3 linked regions of the Alligator mississippiensis genome follow. The protein of the gene in region 2 purifies or fractionates together with the protein of the main gene of each other region. This does not show direct contact. Links are inferred from orthologs where the notes say so. Each region holds a gene or a part of one and is shown on either strand. Other genes may lie near its edges.

The links. Proteins that work in one complex are often made in the same cells at the same time.
Region 1: the proteins of RAB11B (region 2) and RAB11FIP1 purify together in Homo sapiens (affinity purification with mass spectrometry; 3 studies listed by BioGRID and IntAct, counting the BioPlex papers as one, with this or other methods). This does not show direct contact. The link is inferred for Alligator mississippiensis from reciprocal best matches to the Homo sapiens genes RAB11B and RAB11FIP1.
Region 3: the proteins of RAB11B (region 2) and PI4KB purify together in Homo sapiens (co-immunoprecipitation; 3 studies listed by BioGRID and IntAct, with this or other methods). This does not show direct contact. The link is inferred for Alligator mississippiensis from reciprocal best matches to the Homo sapiens genes RAB11B and PI4KB.

What each region holds. Positions count from the first base shown.
Region 1 is NC_081830.1:18,618,528-18,625,614, reverse strand, and holds the start of RAB11FIP1 (rab11 family-interacting protein 1), read right to left. Parts: upstream 3,005-7,087; 5' UTR 2,934-3,004; coding exon 2,572-2,933; intron 2,550-2,571; exon of another isoform or gene 2,348-2,549; intron 1-2,347. UniProt on the Homo sapiens protein: A Rab11 effector protein involved in the endosomal recycling process. Also involved in controlling membrane trafficking along the phagocytic pathway and in phagocytosis. Interaction with RAB14 may function in the process of neurite formation.
Region 2 is NC_081839.1:10,095,762-10,103,752, reverse strand, and holds the start of RAB11B (ras-related protein Rab-11B), read right to left. Parts: upstream 3,008-7,991; 5' UTR 2,938-3,007; coding exon 2,898-2,937; intron 1-2,897. UniProt on the Homo sapiens protein: The small GTPases Rab are key regulators of intracellular membrane trafficking, from the formation of transport vesicles to their fusion with membranes.
Region 3 is NC_081838.1:19,916,360-19,924,333, forward strand, and holds the start of PI4KB (phosphatidylinositol 4-kinase beta), read left to right. Parts: upstream 1-4,970; 5' UTR 4,971-5,085; intron 5,086-5,667; 5' UTR 5,668-5,774; intron 5,775-7,974. UniProt on the Homo sapiens protein: Phosphorylates phosphatidylinositol (PI) in the first committed step in the production of the second messenger inositol-1,4,5,-trisphosphate (PIP). May regulate Golgi disintegration/reorganization during mitosis, possibly via its phosphorylation.

The sequences.
Region 1 (7,087 bases), on a different chromosome or scaffold from region 2:
ACTTTATACAATCAGGCATCAATTCACAAGTTATGAACAAGCTCTCATGTTCATAAGACCCCTTCAAGCACATTCCAGGGCTTTCTACTTAGAAAGAACTCTGCCGTGTAATTTTCTGTATTTCTCTTCCATTTTAAGACTACTTCTCAGAGTACTTCAATACGAGACCTTATTAATATTTCACTTATACCTGTTCACTGGCTATAAGATCAATTCTTTGTGCCCATCTATCTCCATAGCAACTCATTCTGATGACAGCAGGGACAGGCTTCGGTTTTGCTGTTCCCTGTGCAACCTGTTCCACTTTTCGAGATTTATACAGAGATTTAAACAGCAGGGGTATCAAACGTATGGCCTGTGGATCTAGCTTCCAAGCAGTCCCATGGTCAGGATCTAGCCTGGGGCATCAGGTGAGTTTGACATACCTGATATATGGGTATTCAATACAGCTGGACAGTTATTGCAATTAAAAACACTCTTTTTTAAAGAACTTCTTGCTTCAGCTTGCCCACTCCACACCTGTCACACTCCTGCTCTAAATTCCTGCATGTTTTACTACCAATTAGACCATTTAATCCATGGAAACTCAAATCAGGATGAACTGCTACCTTCCAGGCCATGATTACACTTGAATACGCATGCGTAGCTTAATATACAGCTGTCATCTTCAAAACATTTTGCAATCATTAAGCTAGCTGATCCTCCCTTCTTGTAAATTACAGACTGCAGTTTCCTCACTTCCCCTTCTGGAGGGATTTTTCTCAAGTGGTGCAATGTAACAAAGAGGATCCGGAAAATGGAGCCTCTGCCCCAAAAGAACAGCCATGTAATGCTGTCAGCTTATAGGGAAAGCAGCTGTGCAAGAATACCAACACATGGGATTATATTTTACATTTAGGGGTAGCTCTTGGCTTAATCAAATCTGCAGAGTCTTTTTTTTACTGGCCACATATTCACACACCCAGTTTGACAGGCAGGACCAACAGTTAGGAGATAAATTCCTATTTGTAGAGTGAGCAAGTCTCATGAGAGCCAATGGCTGCTGAGCAGAGGGATCCCAGAAACTATTTTTCTGGGATTTTTCTTCTTCAGCACTCCTATCTTTACTTTCTCCCAGCTCCCCAATGCTCCAAGCCACTCTACTTCCAAATCTAAGCTTTCATTTAAATATTTCTAGTCTTTGAGAAGAAGAGACCAGAAACATTAATCAACTACATGAACTCACAGCAATGTCTTCCCAAAACCCAATGTGCAGTAGATTAAGATAGCAAAGCTGGTCCTATTCATTCAGCTCACTTCATTTCTGAAGACGAGATGGCACTTAACATAAAAAAACAGCAGCATGAATATTACACACTGAGATATCCTAGACAATGTACTCTAAAGTGCAGAGCCTCAGGACCAGGGGTGAAGTGGCAAGGAGAAGAAACATTATGGGCTTATTCTCTGTGATTCTGTCTGTAGTTTAAATGAGGGTTGGGAGGGCTGGAAGGGACCTAGTCCAACCCCCTACTCAAAGCAGGACCAGCCCCATCTACATCATCCCAGTCAAGGCTTTGCCTAGCCAGGTCTTAAAAACCTCGAAGCATGGAAACTTCACAACCTCTCTGGGTAACCTGTTCCAGTGTTTTACTACCCTCCAGGTGAGAAAATTCCTCCTAACATCCAACCTAAACTTCCCTCGCTGCAACTTGAGACTGTTGCTCCTTGTTCTGTCGTCTGCCACCACCGAGAACAGCCCAGCTCCAACCCATCTCAGTCGGTACCTGTACTCCAGGAACAGCAGCCCTGAAACTAACTCGGGACAATTTCAAGGCCTCTAGCCCAAGTCCTTTGAGAGCTGTTTCCCCTCCATTGCTTCAGTCACAAATTACGCACTTAAATAGAGTCACTGTCGACAGTGGAGCTGAAAGACTTTAGGCAAAGCAGCTTGTATCATGAATCAACACGCAGAGAAGCAATGTTATTACATTAGCAACCCGTAAAACACTTTGTCAAGCGTCAGGGGTACAGGTTGTAGTACGCTGCCAAGCATCACGCAGCCGTGGGCACTTCTCTGACAAGTGGCCTTCTCTGTGCTCCTCCAGACCCTCTCAATAAAGCCGTCCCCGCGCCCTCCCTACCCTGCCCTCCAGTCTGTGGTACGTGAAGGGCTGCACGGCAAGGCTGAACCCCACACTGCCATGGAGCACGAGCAAGAAGAAGTGAAGTGTCACAGGCAACGAGGGTGGAAGGGACCTCAGGAGGTCACAACTAGCCCACCCCCCTGCCCCTCTCCACACCAAGCAAGCCCAGTCCCCTCAGCCTCCCCTCCATCGTGCGCCCCAGCACCCGCCGCCCCACGCACCTCTGGCCTCGCGGCCTCCGGGGGGGCTAGAGACAGAGCCAGGAGGAGGAGGAGGAGGAGGAAGGACAGGGAAGCAGAAGCAGCTCGTTACCCATCGGCACGGCAAGGAGAGAGCCCGAAAGAGCGGCGGGCTGCGGCCTGGCAGAGAGAAGAGAGAGACAAGGGAGGAGGCGTCACCGGGGCGGGGACCCCTCGCACCCCGGCCCCCCACGCCCCGCACTGACCGCGTGTGGCGGCGGCCGCCGTCGTGCAGCAGCGGCTCGAGGGGCACGTCGGCGCGGCCCAGGAACTTGTCGAGGCCGACGAGGGCGCGGTGCAGCACGGTGAGCTGCAGGACCGGGCCGGGCGCGCCCCCGCCGCCGCGCCGCGCCGCCAGCTCGAACGTGGCCTCCTCGCGCCACACGGGCCGGCCCAGGCAGCGCTCGGCCACCGACGTGGCGAACTTGTCCTTGCCCAGCGCCATCAGCGCGTACGCGTCGCTGCCGCCGCCGCCCTTCGCCTTGGGCCGCAGCCCCTGCGCCTGCAGCACCGTCACCTGCACGTGCGTGGGCGCCCAGCGCGGGGACCCCGGCCCCGGCAGCGACATGGCGGCACTGAGCCCCCGCCGCCGCCGCTCCTGCTACCCCGGCAGCCGCTGCTTAGCGCCGCTCTCGCGAGAGGCGGGACCGCCCGTGACGTCAGAATGGGCGGTGCCGAGCCGCGGGGTAAGAATTCTGGGCGGGGCCGAGCCACTAAGGTCAGGGAGTGGGCGTGGTCACGGTAGGAAGCCGGGGCGTGGGCGGGGTCTATCTAGGGTGGGCGGGGCCAAGCCCCTGGAGTAAGGGGGTGTGTTGTGCCTCTTTCCCGCAGGCTTCGTGCCCGTGCCCCTCCCTCGGCTCCCAGGCGAGGAGTCCCACAGGGCGGGTGCGTCTACACCAGAAGCGTCGCAGCGCACCAACTGCGCAGTCAGCGGCAACTCTGGGCACACCACCTTTCCTTAGCTCTTTATTAAGGAAGTCTTAAACTCAGTGTGTCTCAGTGTCTCAGGCACGTTAATGAACGTGTAGACGCGCCCAGCCAGGGTCGTTGTGCTTGGTAGATCGTGTATTTGGCAGTCCCGGTTCTGTCCGTCCAGAATAAAGCTTGTAAGAAAGAGGCCTGTTCACTTCCAGAAGCACCGAAGGCGGCAGGTGACTGCACGAACCAGGGCGCTCTTGCGCCCAGCGCGCAGAACTGGACACAAGCCCGATCCCTGCGGGGACAGTGCCCCGGCTAGGAGCGCCAAGGCCCGTGCAAGGCTCCTCAGGGGAGCAGCTTTTCTAAATGAAGCACGTTTGTTTAACTGGGAGCTTTGCAGCCGGCATCGGTCTCGCGCAGCTTTCGAGGCTCCGGTCTCGTTGACCGACTGCGCCTAGGAAAGAGCTGCAGCACCGATGTGGATGAGGATGGGGCTGGACTGCTGGCAGAACAAGGAGCAAGGGTCTCAAGTTGCAGCGAGGGAGTTTAAGGTTGGATGTTAGGAAGAATTTTCTCATGAAGCACTGGAACAGGTTACCCAGAGAGGTGGTGGACTCTCCGTCCTTAGAGGTTTTGAAGACACGGCTAGACAAAGCCCTGACTGGGATGATCTAGTTGGGGCTGGTCCTGCTTTGAGCAGGAGGTTGGACTAGATGTGACCTCCTAAAGTCCCTTCCACCCTCATTTTCTGTGACTCTACGTGGGTGTGTAGGACCCGTGGCTTTGAGCTTTTTCCCCTCCATCTGCACTTCCCTCCCTGGCCCCTCTGCTTCTCAGTCAGATCCGAAGAAAGCTTGTTGCCAGCAGACAGCAGACGGACCGGAAGGTGGAGAATGCAGTTTTGCTGTCTGGGAGTTTCGGTGTGACATGCCAATGTAATGCTTGGAGGGTGGGGTTCTGCTTTATTTGAGGAACAGAGGAGTCACTCATTTACACATGAGTTAGTAAACAATGATCTCACCTATTGCCCTTCCTTATATCAGCTACCAACTAAGGTCCCCATGCATGATCTGCGCGTGCTCGCAAGACACATTGCGCTCCAGCACTTAGATGTGTCCTCACTTGGGGTAACTAACACAATGCTAAAAAAAAAGGCCTGTCCCTCCCCTCAGACTCTCTGTGCCCCTGGTTTCAACTGACTGGGAGCCAAGTGCTAGATAATAAAAGAAATCACCTGCAAAAGCTCTTCACATGAACATTAGCAAAGGCTCAGAAAATTCTCTGGTGTCAAAGAGGCTTTCACTGTTTAGTTTTAGGTGTATTGGTTGTAGCCGTGTTGGTCTAAAGGCATAGGCAAACAAAGTTATTTGGGTAAATGTGATATCTTTTCAGTTTTTGCTCTTTTGATCATATGATGTCACTATGTCACGGGGCTGCATTTTACGTTGGAGGCCTAGTAAGACAGAGGCCTGAATGTCTGTTCATAAAACAGCTGTCTGATGGAAAAAGAAATTACAGAGCTTCTCTGCATATCTCATGCATACACCCACACTAATGCACCAGACACCTCCAAATTGTTTTCTTCAGCATGTTGGTTTTAATGATTCATGTTACAGCTCCCGGGCGAGTCAACCTTTCCTAATCCTAGAACTCCAATCCCTTAATGTCTGTATGTACCTTGCTATCCAAGTCACCAGGCCTTTTTTTCCCCTGAGGATCTATGGCCAGTTAAAGGAGGATGCTAGAAGCCAATTCAAAATCCGGTAGACCCAAGACCCATGAGTCAAGTGTCTGAGCTTTCCTTTTGACCCCTGACATACAGACAGTGCTGAACTGCATTCATAAATCCAGCATGGGAAGAGATTAGCTCCACCTTTATAGCAGAGACTGAGCATGAAAGATGCTGACTGTTTTAGGAGTTTAAATGGAAACTTTGCTAGCTTAGTAACATTGGACATCACTAGGCTCTCACTGTTTAGAGCAGATCTGCTGGACAGGCAAGGCAGAGCAATGGCAGTATGCATCCGCATTCGCGTGCACACACACAAGGTATGTGGCAGTGAAATCTCTAAGCCAGGCCACGTGAAAAACAGCCGAGGTATGTGACAAATTAGTTCACTGCACACCTTTGATCACCTCACCTGCCCTAAACACCTCACTAAACTCCTCATTCTACCATTCCAATCCTGTGAGCAACATCTTTTTGTTGTTGCTGTTTCATTAGCCGGGAGAGAAAGGTTGCCTTCTTCTCTCCCCCAGCATAGGATTCGACGCCATAATTATACATGCCTAAAGTCCCAGTGGAGAAGAATCACTCCTAGCCCCATGACAGGTGTTTTAGTCAGAAACCTGTCATAGCTTTGAAGTCCACAGTCTCGTGGCCGTGTGTGCCTCTAAGTGGATGGATGACGTGTCTCAGCAAAAAGTGGCAAGTCCCAGTTGCCGATCGGACCAAGCACTGGAAAGGGCCTGAGATGAAATCCTGTAACGCTGTGATGGTTTGAGCCTTGAAAAGCTGGTTCGTACCCCATATAGTTGGAATGTAGCTTTCCTCAAGCCCCACACAGTCAGAGTTGTGCTAAGGAGCCCAGCTTTAGAGGGGAAGCTACACCCAGGATGTGAATGTGCCAAAGCAAGGTGAGATGGATTTTGCTGTAGGGGAACTCACACCTGGATTGGGCTCAGACAGGTGCTTAGACTCTCCGGCCACCTGTGCACTGAAAATATGCCCCCTCCCCACTGCTGTAGAGGGCCAGGCCCAGCTCATAAAGTGCATGTACGTTGTTCACAGCTTGTCACAAATACCTGTAATACACTGCGCCGTGCTTGAGGGCTTCTTACATAGATAGCACTGACCTACTGCAATCAGACACCATTGTCTGCACACCTTGGAAATGCACTTATGTGGCTCAGCAGAAGCAGGGAGGACATCACAGGCCTCTATCCTCAGAATGACCTCATCCCTTGTCTTCACGGCTAAAAAAGGCATTTTCACTGCACAGAAGGTAATGCATGATAAGTCCCTGCAAGGTGAACTCACCATGACGGCAAGGCACTTCAGTTTTACGGTGCACTCGGCACTCTTCTCCCACAGCTATACCTTGTCTGGTTTAACTCATAGTATCTGTTAAGCACCATGTTTTCACCATGACCACTAAGTCGCACCCAAGGATGGCTGCTTTTCTAGTATGGGGTAGGTACCATACAGTACCCACGGAAGTAATGTATAGTAAAGCTCCCACTTGCTGCTGGAGTGGGAAGATCTTGGCTTTGTGCCCACTTTATGGAAATGGGAGACTCCTTCCAGGCTTACCCCTGGGGCCTTATGGCTGAGGGCAAGCGAAACACGGGGGCATCTGAACCCCAAGTCTCCGAGCTTGGGCCTGCACCTAGGATGCCTGCCAAAGGATTTAGAAACATCTGAAGCCCTAGGTGAGGTGGAGGATGTTTGCCAGCAGTAGGGCAAACTTGACTGACTCACAGATTTGGAATTGATTTGGACCAGAACACAAAAAAATTATTTAAAAAAAATATATGTTTTCACTGTGTTTTTACCTTGGGTGGCTCTCACTTGTTGGTTTCCCTGTGGTCCAATACATTTATCTTTCGTAGTGTGGAGACAAGGCTTCTAATCATTCGGAGCAGAGTCTGGTCTCTGCTGACTCACTGCTCTGCATACCAGTCCCCCTCTCGCTTCCCGTTCTTCCATTTTTAAAGTGGGACTGATGATCTATCTTGCCTATGTTAAGTCACTCTGCTTTTGGGGAACAAAACATGGGACTTAGCCCTGGATGCTCCACGGGC
Region 2 (7,991 bases):
TGCCATATATATAAGATGACCACTGACTCGAGTCTTGTCTTCCACGTAAGGAACCTAAAAACTGCTGTGTAGCAACAGACCACATAGAACTTCCTCATCTATTTGATTCTTCGTATACATATTTCTTTAGCAGATACCGCTCACTACACAAAAAGTCTACTTTACATGTAGCAACATGCAAACAATCCCTTCTTGACATGCTACTCTCCCAACGCCATCTTTTTTAGACTATGTAGCTGCTAGAACAGAGATAGAGAACTCATAAAGCTGCAAAAGGAGTCAGAAGCCAAACAAAAAAAAATATCACTTGACCATTTTTTCAGTGCACCCCTTGCTATTTAGTGCTGGCAGGAAGAAAAGAAGGAAGATGGTTTTGTCCATCACCATATTACTGCCAGAAACAGACCATGCAGAATCCCCAGTTGTTCTCATATAATTACAACCAGCTACATGATTCGTGAGATCCCCAAAGTCCTGCTGCTGGAAAGGAGAAAGTTTTAACTCCACGACGAGGAGATATAAAGCAAACTTTCCCATGTTATTATTTAAGCACTAACCTGGCATATGGGAGACAGCCCCCCACTTCTAAGTCTCCAATTCATCTAGATAAGACAAGGTTTCTCCCCCCACACCTTTCATTTATGCCAACTATGGCAAATACTTAGTAGTACAAATAAAGAAATAATGATCCCTGCCCAAGGAGTTTAATATCAGATCTCAATTTAGATTTTAAAACGTTACTTTTTACAGTGAGACAAGGATTTCTTAAAGTAATATCTTTTATTGGACTAACTGTATAGTTGCCTCTTGCTTAATTCCTGGACGATCGCAGGTATAACATCACTAACACTACCATAAGATTTTATAGTGTCATGGTTCTTTAGAAAGAGCTAGTATGTGCATACATACATATACACACATGCACGCATGCATGCAATTTTTATATAAAAGTAACTTGTTTAATCATTCCTGAAAGGAAAAGCATTATAAAAAATATCAGACTTTTAAGTTTCAGGACACTAAATTAGTCGGAAGGTTAATAGTGGATAGTTGATCTAGACAGGATTTAGTACCACAACCTGGCAGCTTCACACTGAAATCAGCTACATGTAATTTAAGGGAGGTGGGGAAGAAAAAACATTTTTTCAATAATCAGCTACTCTTAGGACTGGAGAGTTTGCTCTCATTGGGCTCCTATACGTATGCAAGGAGCTGGCTCCGATGTGCTGGAAATCCTGGATTAATCGAGTCTGCTGGAGAGCAGAAATTACCACGCTTCAGCAGACTAGCATCATGTGCATGTGTCTCCATGCTGAAAAATGGTGGTGGAGTGCTTTTAGCTCAAAGTGCCCTGCCGCCATTTTTCAGCGTGGAGGATGCTGACGTGTGATGCTTGGGCACTTCTAATTAGGATGGGGGGGGAAGATGGGGCTGCTTTAATCAGCATGTGTAAAAATGTCCATGGATACTAAACATGAAAGCAGCAGCAGCAGGGGTGGAGGTTTCAAATTTTAGGACATCTATTGTTTCTCACCCATGGGTTGTTTATCATTGATTGTAGGCCGTCCTGAACCCAAGTGGGGCAGAAAACAAACCTAAATAATAAATACATTATAAAATGAGTAGGCCATGCAGGACAGTATATCTGAAGTGAATATCGAAGTAGGAGACACAGTGAAGTATTCATTTTGGAAAAACAACTGCTCATTCCTATTACCGACAGCCAAATTCACACGCATAATCCTAACCGCAGCCGTTCTCTTGAGTAACTGCAGCGAACGGCACATGGAGATGCTGTCACCACTCGCCTTATTTTGCTAGAACAGTGAATGCTACTGAGGACACGGCACTGCTGACCATCAGCATTTCCGTCTCACAGGAAGCTCCTGTTCGCCGTGCTAAACAACATGGAGCGCGCAAAGCCAAAGACTAGGGCTCCTACCACTGTACAGCTAGTGCTGGGGAGTTTGCCAAGCGGGTTATTTTAAGGAAAAAGCGTGATAAAAAAAAAGATTCTTTAGAACTTCAGAGCATCCACCTCAAATGCTTTCTGGACCTCAGACAGGATGACCGTCAGTCTCTAAAAAAGAATAAAGCCAACACTATAAATGACTACAGGCATCAGAAAATAAATTAACTCCACATTAAAAATATCTATCATTAAAAAGGCAATTCCAGTTTATCACTGTCCGACGGTGGGAACGCTGCAAGTGTACGTGGACGGGGGCACGGAAATAACTCCTGGAAGCCCAAGGTAAGGTCGGCAAGGGTTTTTTTCTATGCTAAACCTCATTTTTAGCGACTGTCTTTGGTTTAACCACTTTGGCAGAAAGTCCCACACTTAGCCCAAGGTCACTTTCTGCACCATCGGGACAAGTGCCGAAATGCGGCTTTTGAATTCACTCACTACTGAAACGTGCATTTGTTTCCTTAAAACCGCGTCCCTTTGCTGGGACGAGGGCGACCCTGGCAGCGAGTGCCGCGCTCCTCTTCTCTCTCCTCCCAGCCCTCGGAGAGGAGCTTCTTCCGCAGCAACTCGCAGGCGGTTTTCCTCCGAAGTTGTTGGGAAAAAGCCCCGGGGAGGCAGGAGGAGGCGGGAGCTGGGGACACTCGGGCAGGCCCAGGTGCGGGAAGCAGGGCTGCGCCGGGGGCTGCCCGCTCGCTGCTCCCGGCCGCACGTCGGGGGCAGCGCGGACAGCGACGCGCGCATCTCACGGCCAGGCCCGCGAGCCCTGCCCCTGCCCAGGCCGGAGCCGCCGCGGACAAGGTCAGTGCCGCCCCCCGGGGCAGGGCCCGGCCCACGTCAGGGCGGCGGCGGCGCGGGGCCCGGGGGTGGCGGTGGGGCGGGCTCGCTGCCAGGCCCCTTCCTCCCCGCCCCGCCGGCCGGGCCGCGCTACCTTTGAAGAGGTAGTCGTACTCGTCGTCCCGGGTGCCCATGGCGATGGCGGCGGCCCCGCTCCTCGGCTGCCAGGCACCGACGCGGGCCGAGCGCTGCGTGGGGTGGGGGGGGGGCGCTGCTGCCGCAGCCTATCAGCAGTCGCCAAGGCCCCCGGCGGGGCGGGCCCGGGGCGGTGCCCGCCGCCACTGCCCAATGGGAGACCGGGAGAGGCTGACTGACAAGCGGAGCAACCTATGAGCCGCGAGCGGGGGTAGGGGCGGGGCCTGGCCGCGCGGGGCAGGCTGCGGCGGGGATGTCAGCGGGGGCCGCCCCGCCCCGCCCCGCTCCGAGTAGCGGGCCCAGGAGCCCGGCGTAGGCCTGAGGCCGCCTCACTCGCCCCGAGGGCCTAGGCCCGGCTCAGCCCTGCTTGTCCCCGCACCCCAGCTCTGGCTGCGCCTGGGGCCTGCTCCGCGCCAGGCTGCGGCGCCGGCCGGGAGCGGGGCCAGGCTCTTGTTGCTGGCTGGGGCCGCGGGTGCAGGGGGTTTCTTTAAAGAAAGGAGGCGCGTGGCGGGGCTCACTTCCCAGCTCGGGCATCGCCACGCTGCCTTCAGTCAGTCGAGATGTCCGGGTTGTGTCGAGGGGGGCTGAGCTCGCAGGACGAGCCTGCTGCCTCCGCCCTGGTGCTCGGGTCTGGGGTCCAAAGGGGAGCAGAGCACGCGTCACGCCCGGGCTCTCGTTTCTGCGGCTCGGATGGGAGCGCGCCACCATCCTCCGCACACGGCGGCGAAGGAGCGGGGGTTCAAACTCCTTCCAGCCGCCTGTTATCGCTCTCTCTTCTCTCTTTTCGTTTCTCAACCTAGTTTCCTATTAGGGCCGTGCCAAACGAGTCAAAACCGCGTTGAAATGAAGCTGCCAGCAAAATTTTGCACAGCCCTGTTTCCCATCCCACTCCTATTTTCCGTCCAGGGATTGACCATATCCAGTCCCTATGCAACTTGCTTACACAGAGACAGTAATAACCAGGTTACCGTAGGGAATGTGTTCAGTTTTATTATACTACCTGGGTCAGACTGGAATATGGAGAGAGGTGTCTCTGACCTTGCGGGAGTAGTTAGTAATACTGGGTAATTCGGGGACACTGGAACTAGGCTGATATAGACAGGATAACAAATGTTACTGGTAGTGGTCGGGCACGGTATTTGGGGTAAGACGGCCAATACTTTTCTTGTTGAATGGTCATGCAACGAACAAGAGTCAATACTATTTTAGAGTTGATTTTTATTAAATAATAACCACCTTACAGAGGGTCACTTCTTGATTCAAGATGATTTTCCAGTAATTATGAGCTGTTCTGTGTAAACTGCAAGATAACCAAAATAGGTCTGCAACTGGGGTTTGGATTTCAGAAGAGCAAACTTTGAGCAACCAAGGAAATGAGTTCAAGGGACCAGTTGGATTCAGAGTTCAGGGGATTTAAATGCAGATGAGCCATGCGAATCAAAACCACAAGTACTATCTGGAAAATGTGGATAGGAAAATGTTACAGGCCAAACTGGACAAACTAGCACATTATCCAGGCATTAAGATATACAAGGAATGGATAAACAAGATTGATCAGTAAGGAGAGAGGTCTTTCCCAGGTCAGAAAGTGCAGAAAGGAAGTGATAATGCCCAAAGGCCTACATGAGTTCAAACTTGCAAAGAAAATCAAAAAATAGCAAAAGGTCTGTCAGTCATATAAATGAAAAAGAACTAGGAAGGAAACCTTTTATACCCTGACAATAGGATAGAGATAAAGGACAATCTAGATATGTCCTGAGGACTGAATGAACACTCGGTCTTCAATATGGATGAGGAAGCAAGTGAAGATAGTGGTAAAGTACAAGATGGGGATGAGGAATTGGTAATTAAAACTACCACACGTGATATGAATGCAAGACTTAGCTTGCTTCTTGTGAGGAAATATGGTACAACCAAATATTCTCCACCCCAGCATGCTGAAAGAATGGCACGTGAAAAAGCAATTTCTGTGGCACTGATCTGTCAGTTCAGGTGTAGTACCCTGTTACTGGAGAATAGCAACGATAGTGACTTTATTCAAGAAAGGTGAAAAAAATGGTCCCAGGTAATTACAGGCCCATTAGTATGACTTTAGTATTATGCATGATTTTAGAACAGATTGAAGGAAAAAATAGAGATATGGAGGTAAAAGAAAATAAGACAAGATGCGATATAATTTTATCCAAAAGCAGAGGTGGATCCAGGAGTGTGCAATAGTGCAGTCATCTCCTTTTAATTCTTGACTCACCCATACTTGAAAACCAATTGCTTGGCAAGGGCAGCGGCATTTCTATTAAGGGAGTGCTGAGAGAGTCAATTGACTTCATGACTCCTAAGTCCTCTGATTCCTGCTGATATTTGTCCACTCTGCAAGTGTTAAGGACCCGCTATCCTTTGTAATGGACTTGATGTTCCTCTATTCAACCTATCCTTTCTTCTGCAATTTTGCTGTCTATTAGCCATTCCTGAGTATGCCTCATATTTTTCACAGCCCTGCAGATTGCTTGTACCGCTAGTTAAACACTCAGGTTAAATCTGGTGTGGTAATATTAACTCGGGTGTAGAAATGACTAACAGTGAAGTATAGGAGGCACTGTCAAGATGCTCAGGAAGACTAGATTTTGTTTTGTGAATTTTAATAAAATATGCACATTTAACTATAATGACTACAGGACTAACGACACAATATCTTAGTAAAGCTTCTAGTTTCTCTCTAACTGGAGAAAAATAGGTTGTATTGTATGTGATGATGTAACATACCATCTGCAGCGCTAGGATTTTCAAAATCCTAGATCTGCCCATGTCCAAAGGAGTTCATGTCAGAACAATAACTTAGAGAAGGGTAATACAGTGGACCTAATTTACCTAAATCAGGGGTCTGAAGCTCACCTTGTGCCCTGGACTACAGGGCTCCTTGTAGGCTAGATCTAGCTCAAGGCACACTGGGCACCTATATGCATGCAATGAGTCTGCTCTGACTCACTGAAATTACAGTGTATTGGAGCAGACTTGATTGAGTCTGCTGGAGTGTGGTAATTACCATGCTCCAGTAGCCTCCAGTGTCGCGTGTATCAGTGTTTGATGAGCTTTACTTAAAGCACCCCACTGCCATTTTGAAGTGCAGGGATGCTGATACATGAGATGCTCCAAATGCTTTAATTTAGAGCAGCTTTTGGACTCACTCTATTTAAAGTGCCCTTTCCACACGCCAGGAATATGTTCATAAATGCCCTGGATGCCTGTGTTAGGGCCAGCAGTAATGAATCCAGAATGGGGCAAAGAGTGATGATGAATCCAGCACAGGGCTGCAGAGGCAATAAGGCAGTGGCGATTGCAGATGACACCAAGCTGAGCAGAGTAGTAGATAGGCTGGAAGGTAGGGCTAGGATTCAGAGTGACCTAGACAAATTGGATTGGGCCAAAAGAAATCTCATGAGGTTCAACAAGGACAAGTGCAAAGTCCTGCACTTAGGATGGAACAATCCCATGCACCAGTACAGGCTGGGGGGCTGACTGGCTGGGCAGCAGCTCTGCAGAAAAGGACCTGGTAGTTGCAGTGGACAATAAGCTGAATATGAGCCAGCAGTGTGCCCTTGTTGCCAAGAAGGCTAATGGCATACTGGGCTGCATTGGTAGGTGTGTTGCCAGCAAGTCAAGGGAAGTGATTGTTCAGCACTGGTAAAGCCACATCTGGAGTACTCTGTTCAGTTTTGGGCTCCCACTACAGAAAGGATGTGGACAAATTGGAGGGAGTCTAGCAGAAGGCAACAAAAATGGTTCAGGGGCTGCAAAAACTGGACTTGCTTAGTCTGCAGAAGAGAAGACTGACGGGTGATTTGATAGCAGCCTTCAAATGCCTGGAGGGGGGTTCAAAAGAGGATGGAGCTGGACTGCTCTCAGTGGTAGCAGATGACAGAACAAGGAGCAGTGGTCTCAAGTTGTAGCAAGGGAAGTTTAGGTTAAATAATAGGAAAAATTATCTCACTGGAAGAATAGTAAAACACTGGGACAGGTTACCCAGAGAGGTTGTGGACTTTCTATCCTTGGAGGTTTTTAAGACCCATGTAGAAGGCTGGATTGATCTAGTTGGGGATGGTCCTTTGAGCAGGGGGTTGGCCTAGATGATCTCCTGAGGGCCTTTCCAACCCTGATTTTCTATGATTTCTCTGATGGGCCAAGGAGCCAGAGGGACATATCCACTGGGGATCTCAAATTCTGCCCCAGGACATGACACCTAATGGGGACTAGACGATCCACAACATTCTCTAGTCTCCTTCCCCAGCCCTGTAGGCTAGATGAAACTGCTTGCTCTGTGAGCCAACTCTGGCCCAGAATCTGGATATTTAACACCCCTGATCTAGATTTAAGCAAGCAATTGGTATTGTGCCTCTCTGAAAAATCATAAAATCACAAGGTAGAAAAGGAGTAGCTAAAAGATAGCCTGTGGTTGATTATGTTAAAAATGGAGATTTCAGACTGGAATGGGGTTGCTAATGGCATTCTTCAGGCATCGGTTCTGGGGCCTGTTCTGTTTAACATTTTTGTTAGTGACCTTGGTGCAAGATCTAAGTACACACTCATGAAATTTGTGGCTGATATTTTTTTTCTGGTATTGAAAAATTCAGAGGAATGTAAGAATGTGAAAAGTTCGGTCCTGGGTCAGACCAATGGTCTGTCTAGCCCAGCTTTCTACCTCCAATATGGTGCTGTCTATGGGGAACCTGGGTAACTATGAGGCTGTCTACCTTTCTCTCATCTGTGCATGTCTCCTGGCAGAGTTTCATTGAGCAGAGTCTAGAGGCTGCTTAGATGCATTCGAGGGGCAGCAGGCACTAGCCTGCTCAGTGTCCCCCCTTTCCCTCCCTTTTGGGACCCTAATTATTAACTTTTGACTTGCACTCCTGTTCTTGTTCTTTCATCTGTTGTCCCCACTATTCAGTTTGTACAGGGTTAGAGGTCCCCCTCTAACTGCTTATAGTTTCCTGGTGGGCTTAGGCCCAACATTTGCATGTAGTAAATACTTCCAGTAGCGGCAGCAAAAGATGCTTTACAG
Region 3 (7,974 bases), on a different chromosome or scaffold from region 2:
CCAGCAGCTTTTTCCCACCCCACAGGTCTCTGAGTAAGTGTCTCCTGCTCCAGTGCCTGTGGACCCCTGCCCTGTTATAGTGAGCAGAGAGGGAGGGCCCCCTTATAGTGAGCAGAGAAGGAGGGGAGGCCTCCCTGCATCACGTGGGTCCTTTGCACTGCGTGTGCAGGGTCCAGGAGGCTTTGCCAGCAGCTGCGGGAAGTCTGCCAATGGCACCAGCCAAATTCCACTCCTGTTTACACAGGTGTAAATCTGGAGTGACTTTCAATGGAGCTGACCTGGACAGATGCCAGCATGAATGAGATCCAGCTTGTGGCCGCCTCCGAGCACACAGGGAGCTCAGGCACAGCTGGGGAGAGAGGGAGAGAGAGGGGGGATGTGGGCTTGCAAATGGATAAAAGAGCTTGAGGGAGCTGTAAGTAAAAACAGAATCTACTGCCTCAGTTTCTCTTCCTGTACTGTGTTCAGTCAGACTGGGAGCTCTTGGGGCAGGTGGTAGCTCCTTCAGGGTCTGGGCAGCTCTTGGCACCATGGGGCTTTGATCTCAGCTGGGGAAGGGAAGGATCTCTCACCCTGGCTCTGTACAGCACCTGGTGCCATGGGGCTCAGCTGCATCCTCTGGGTGTTAACCATGGGCCAGGAATGAAATGACTAGAACTCATTTGCCACCTCTGCTTGCAAGGCCTTGACATCAGGAGGGGAGTGGGTGAAGAGGAGAAAGCCCTCTGCTTTGGGAAGGTGTTTGCTAGCAGAGCCAGGGCAGCCTCTTCTGCCCTGCACCCCAACCTGCCACTGTGGAGCCTGAGCTGTCATGGGAATCACGGGGCTTTCCCAGTGACTCATGGCATCCTGGCAGACTCTGGGGTACCCCTGCCTCTGGCTCCCAGCACATGACTGGGCGGGACGGGTCCCTAGCACTGCCTGCCTGAGCCCTTTTAAAGCTCATTTGTGGCTGCTCAGGTTTCTGAGTGGAAAGATGGGTATGTGGCTGAGAGAGCAGCCACATGGATTCTTCTCTCAGCTCCAGGAACAGGCTGGTGTTCATCAGCTACAGCAAGGGAGCCTGGGGACACCTGGATTCCTTTGCTAGTCCCAAGGGGGAAGTAGATCTAGGAGTTAGAGCAAGGACCTGGGAGCCAGGACTCCTGGGTTCTGGGCCTAGATCTGGGGAAAGGATGGGCTGTAGTGGTTACAGCCATGGGGGTGAGGAGTCAGGATTCCTGGGTTCTCATCCTAGTCCTGAGGAGGAATTAGGGCCCATTGGGTAGAGTGGAGACCTGGGATTCAGGCCTCATCGGCTGCAGCCTGACACTGTGACAAGCAGCCTGGAATCTGAACCCAAGCCGATCCTGAACTCCTACAACTGCAACCTCTGCTGCCATTCATGAATGCCAGCACATAGCAGCAGTGCCAGGTGCTCATGGAGGGAAGTCCAGGGCAGCTGCCCTGTCATGCCACTGGGTGGGGTGGGGGGCCTTGCTGCTGACTCAAGCAGTGTGACTATTACTGGAAAACCTTGTGCCAGCTGACAGCTGCCCTGCCCGTCCACATGCATGTGTGATATCCCAGGGCCGTGCTCAGGACATGCAGCCAGCCCCACAAAGTTGCTTCTCCTGCCCTGGAAGCCAGAAATATCCTCTCTGATTTTAACCATCCCCCCCGACACACGCACACAAAGCAGGGGTATCTGCATTCTGGCACCAGGGAGCTGCCGCTTTGTATTTTCCACTTGCTGAAGTTTAGAGGCCTGGTTTTCTGGGCTCATCTCTGCTGTCCAGATGTCATTTCTGTCCCAGAGCTCAGCACCACCCCAGGCACGTGTTCCAGGTTTCCCAGGCTCCAGTGTAGCACAGGGGCGTAGGTGTTGCAATGCACTCAGCTGGTTGTGAAAGAACATCCTCCCACCTCAGGTACATCTCACCTGCCCGTCAGCTGAACTCCTTGCTGCAGATATGTCATCCTCACAGCTTGGGGCAGGGAGGAAGTTGCAGGCTCATCTTCCAGCTATGTATGGTGCTGGTGACTGTAAGCTCCTTGGAGCAAAGACTGTCTAGTCATAGAACCCCAGCCCCAACCTTGTTGGTTTTTACTCACTCCTGCTATGTACTTATTAAATAAATATGTCATGGGGGAGATGAAGTGTGGCTGGATGAGTTGGTTTAACCGCCAGCCTTTTCTTCAAAGAGCTGAAAAGAAAGAATTTACTTCCTCAATGAAACAACAGTGGTCTCCAAGCCAAACACTGGCAACTGGCAGTAGCCAAGCAAAGGCAGGACGGTGCCCAGAAACCTCATGGGCTAGGCTGGGTGCTGGTTATGTGAGAGAAGCAGGAAAAAAGTCCAGGGAAGGAGTGGAAAGCTGGACACGGCCTGGGGCTGCAGGGACCTGGGGAGAAGCTAAGAGGGATCCGACCTGTTTGCTAAGCAGAGATTCGAACAGGGGGCAAACCCCCACCTGCTGCTGTTTGATTCCTCCAGGACTTAGCATCATGAATTAACAGCAAATGAGCTAGCAAGGTTGAAGACTTCTGCCTGCATCAATGCTTTCTCCATCTAAAAGGCCTGTGCGCAGCTGTATTTTGCCAACTGCATGGCTCACAAGGGGTCACAGATGTATCCTGATCCTTGCCCATCCTTGATTCACTTTGCAAAACCCTGCAAAGCAAGAGATTTCCACCTACCTGCAGGGGACCCCAGCTCCCAGGGCTGTGGGATGGGAGAGTGGGGCACTGGGGAGCCAGCTTCATGCAATCGCTTCTAAGAGTTCCCTGCTCCAGCCAAGAGATGAACAGAGACTTGACAAATACCGGACAGACAAAGCGCAGCAAGTGCATCATGTAACACGACCGCCCTGTCTGCTCACTACAAAGGCTCCCTGTGCCATCAGCTTTGATGCTGTTAATACATGTGCTAGATTGGGGGTGTCAATGGCGCAGCCCACAGAGCCCCATTATCCAGCCCGTGTTGTTCCCAGGTCTGGAGTTGGCCCACACACCATATGTGATGTGTACCAGACATGCCCCATGTGTGGGGTCCAGGACATGCCACACGCAGCGCCCCCCACTTGAGCTGCTCTGGGGTGGGTGCTGTGTGCAGCTGGTTGGAGTGCACTAGATCTGGCATGGGGCTGGGGGTACAGCTCTGAAGTTGCAGCAAAGTAAGTTTAAATTGGAGATCAGGAAAAACCTTGCTGTTAGAGCAGGGAGCTCATGGCATAGATGAAAGGGAAGAGGTGGACGCTCCATCACTGGAGGTGTTCAAGAGGAGGCTGCACAGCCACTAGTCGGAGATGACCTAGCAATTGATGCCTGTGCTCTGCTGTGGGGATTTCTCAGTCCCCCAGGCTTTGTTGGTTTCCCCAACTTCTTTCTGCTCCATGTATCAGGGAGGGTTTAAGCCTCCCTCAAAGGCACTGGGTGTTGGCTGCAACCCAGGCTGGGACTGGGGACTGGCCTGTGCCAGTGCTCCTGCTGGCACCAAAGCTGGAGGGTCCTGGCTAGAGCAGCATTTCTCAACCTCTGGGTTGTGACCAAACTTCTAAAATGGATTCTCCTTTAAAGAAAAAGGTGGGAAACCGTGGCTTTTCCTTTGCAGGCTGGCAGAGCTCCAGTCTGCAGGGGGCTGCTTAGGGCCCTGTGTCCCACACACCCACCCCCTGCCCCACACACTGGGGGCTGAGGCCAGGGAGCACCAGATCAGGAGTGAGGGGCACTAGGTCAGGATATCTCCAAATGGGTCCTGGTCCAAAAAAGGTTGAGAACCACTGGGCTAGAGGGTCTTGCCCCTTTGCTCAGGGTCAGACCCAGGGCTGGATTAATGTATAGGCAAACTAGGCACATACTTGGGGCCCTACGTGAAGCAGGGGACCCAGTGGTGCTTATTTTACATAATTATTGAGTGAAAAAAGTTATATAAATGGCTCACTAAATTGTTAACCTAGCCCTGGTCAGACCAACTTCATATTTGGGGTCAGGAAGGGATTTTCCCCCCGGTCAGACTGGTCCGGACTGGTGGGTTTTGCCTTCCTCTGTACAAGGGCATGCACGGCCTCAGCCTGGGAGCTCTTTAGTGTCTATTAACAATGTTTTTACAGCAGCAGGACGCTGCTGCCGCAGTCCCCTGGCTTTCCCTGGGGCAGGGTTCTGTTGTGTCAGGGTTGATGGTCGAAGAGTTCGGATGATGGATGGTTTGGACAGGGCTGATCCCGCCTCGGCTGGGGGGTTGCACTAGATGTGACCTCGGGAGCTCCCTTCCAGCCCCGCGGCTCTAGGATTTCGATGGCCTGGTCGGCAGGGCTGGCCCCTGGACGGCTCGTGCTGCCCGCAGGCCCAGGCGGGGTTCACACTCAATAAGCAACGCGGAGCCAGGGCAGTGATGGCTGCGATGCCGCGGGGTGACGCTCCGATACGGCTCTCGAATGTGCACTGGCAGAACCTGGCACCACGAGCTGGCCACGGGCATCGCAGGGCTGGCCCGTGACTGCGCGAGGGGCTGAGGCGGCACCGCGGGCACCCCCAGTCCTGCCGGCGGGGTGGGCAGCCAGACGCATCCCCAGTTCCCTTGGGTGCCCAGCAGAAGGGGCAGGCGGGTACCTCCAAGGGCTTCTGGAAGCAGCCCTAGCCCACGCACAGGGATTCCTGGCCCCTGGAATGCCCTTGGGGCCACCGTGCCTCAGTCTTCCCTTCTGTGAAATGGGTGCAACGCAAACGGCCCCCGGCGCCTTGCCAGCTACAGACAGCAACATGCTCCCCACCCCGCCTTCCCCGTGACGTGCGGTTTATTTCCCTTTGCAACGCCGCTGCACTGCAACCTGACTAGGCCCTTCCTGATCAGGCAGCGCGATAGCCACCCTCCCAGGCCCACCGGCGTCTATGGGTGCACGGGTCCTTCGCCCCCCCCCAGTACCCTCCCCCGTCCTCCCGGGTGAAAGGGGCGGGCGCTCGGGGCGGGCGCATGCGCATAGGCGGCTCCGGACTCCGAGGCGGTGGGGGAAGCCTCGCCCCCGCCCCCGCGCGCTCGAAGGACCCTCAGGCGGCGCGCGGCCACCCCGGGCCTGCGGGACCCAGCGCGGCGGCGGGGCGTGCAGGTGTGCGTGCGCGTGCGGTGGGGGTGCGTGCGTGTGTGGTGGGGTGCAAGGGTGCGTGTGTGATTTGTGTGTGGGGTGTGTCAGGGTGCGGTGTGCGCTGTGCGTGTGTTGGGGGGCACGGGCGTGTGTGAGCTTGTGGCGTTAGGCAAAGTGCGTGTGCGCCAGTGGACGCGGGGGGAGGTGCGCACATAGGTGTGCGGGGGGGCCATGTACGTGAGTGTGAGGGGATGTAAGAGATGTGTGTGCCCACGTGGGTGTTGTGGGTGTGAGGGGAGGTGCATTTGTGTTTTGTGGGGGAGCGTGTGTGCGTGCACCTGTGGGGGATGGGGTTGTAAGGGTGTGTGCACACCTGTGGGTGTTGGGGGGGGGGGTGTGTGGTGTATGTGGGGGGATGCATGCAGGCGCATGTGTGCAAGTGTGGGAACCTGCCTGTTGCGATGAGAGAGTAGGGTGTGTGTGTGTGTGTGTGTACGGGGTTCTGGGGGGTGTGCGCATGTGGGGGGAGCGCGTCCACCAGGCGGGCTGGGGGGTCTCTTGGTGCCAGCGGACCCTCATGGCCCTTCGCTGCCTTCTCTCCGCTAGCCTGTGGGGACCGTCTCTGACGCGGTGCGAAGATGAGCGGCTCGTCCGGCCTCGCGGGGCAGCACACGTGGAGGCAGCAGCGGCCCTGTCGGGGGAGAGCGCCTCAGGTAATGCCCCAGCGCACAGCCCTGTCCTGTCCGTGCCTCCAGCTTTGTCCAAGCAGCTTTGGGGTGGGTTTGGACCACGCTATAAGGAGCTGCGGGAGGTCCATAGGTGGGGCCGGGATCTGGAGCCATCCTGGCCCAGGACCCCTCTCGCTGTGTAGTCAGTGGTGTATCTGCTGCAGGTCGCTGGGTGCGGGGGGCTCTGGTGCAGAGCAGCTTCTTGGGAACAGGATGCAGCCCCCCATCATCTTCTTTCTATTGCACTTGGCTAGGGCTCAAGGCAAACTAGGGGCCCACCCCAACACCCTCCCCTGGGCCGGCTTGTCCCTCCTGCATTTTGCTGTTACCTGAAAGAGACGCCCAAGGATTTAAGAGCAATGCTGCGCTTGATGTGTGAGGCCAGCGGTCAGTGCTGCACAGAGTTGCCTGGGGGACAGTAAGTGCTCAGCAGAGTTGGGGTTCAAGTCTGCACCCTCCTCTGGGTGGTGGTAGCTGCAGCAGTCTGAACGGCACCCCTTGTGTCCCAGCTGAGTTTGGATCTCTGTGTAGCCGAGGGTCAGCTGCACCTGACCTCTTGGTTTAGATGCTTCTACCAGCCAGAGGCACAGTCTGATCTCAAAATGCCAGTGTTGGACTGATGTAGCTGTGATGATCCAGGAAATGTATGAGGGGCAGGGGTTTTTGTGGGTGCTGTCTTTTACTGCACCGGCTGCATGGTAGGGGTGGACTTAGACAAGCTTTGAAATGCAGTTTTGGTATTAAATTGTGTATTTAGAAATGTGAGCTTCCGGGGACCTTGGGTAAAAAAGTATCTTCTGACTTGTGGAAGCCAAGAAACTCCCTGGGGACCAGCTGTCCCCTGTCTGCTCACTTCAAGGTCTCATCTTGCGAAGCATTTGGACCTAATGATTGGGGTTACTGGATTAGAGCGTGCAAAACCGGATTATGCCGTTCACCTGTTTGTCGTGGGACCTTCCTTTATCCCTAATAAAGGAGGCTAGTAATGACTTGGTTAGAAAGGGCTTGGAGATGAGAGGTGTGGAGAAGGGCCGGTTGTTCTGAAGCATTGCTGCCAGTACCAGGTTGCCCGAGTTGCTGCTGCAGTCGAGCTGAAGAAGCGTGTGCTGTGTCTTCTGAGACTGCCTCCAGACTTGGTCTGACTTGTTTCCAAATGCTGCGTAGTCTGGACTGTGAAGGCCTCCTTCCTGAATGCCTCAAGCTCCTGTTGGTCAGTGAGAGCTGGGACAGCTTTGTGCTTCCAGAGACTGGGCCTCAAGCCTTTTAGTGCTGGAAAAGTAAATCAGCAGCTTGTTTTGAAAAACACATGATTTTTTTTTTTTTCCAGTCCTGTCTTACGCTTTTTGGAGAGGGGAAGAGTGGGGACAGTGAGGCAGCTAGGGGTTCCTGCTGCTGTTTGTGTGATCTGGCCAGTTGTGCTCTGCGCCTCAGTTTCCTCTTCATTGTGCGACTGGAAGGCTAAATGCCTTGGTCTCTGGAAGGTGCAAAGTATTAATGCAGAGACTGAATGCAGAGTCCTTTGCGTGAGAACCTTGCTGCTCCTCTCCTCTGTGCCCTATCGCGCTTACAGAGCGAGGTTGTTGAAATCAGTTTTATAATGGCTGGCTTCTGGCTTCTCCTGCCTTGTTGTTTGTGCCTTCTTCCCAATCTAGGGCTGCCCCCTTGTCCTGATGGCACAAAGGTCTGACTTGTTACTAGTTAAATAGCAGAGAGAGAGCTAAATTGACCCCCATCTGAAATGGAGCCTTGAGAAACCATGAAGGGATGTCAAATGTTTGGCATTCATACGTTTTTCTGAGGCCGAATGGTAGCAGGAACTTCAGCCCGTGTGCCCAGATATTTGAAGTCCAGGCCTGCCCTGGAAGCTGCATGTTGCGTTATAACCACACTGCTCATGTGGCCGGGCACTGGGCTGGGGCTGAAAGGGATTGTGTAAGCTTGGGGCCAAGTCTGAGTGAGATGGAGCCACCTGTACCCGGTTCCTCTAGCTGCTGCTCTGACTCTCACGCAAGAGCATCATGTGAAATCCCTGTGTGCCTGCTGCCTCGGGAATGCTGTGCCTGGCCCAGCATGGCCAAGGCTAAGCATACGGATTTAGAGGTGGTGAAGATCTGGATTAGTGTTACGGGGGGAGGGAGCATCTGTACATCGGTTGGCCCAAACGCTGCTAGCGACCTTGACGTGT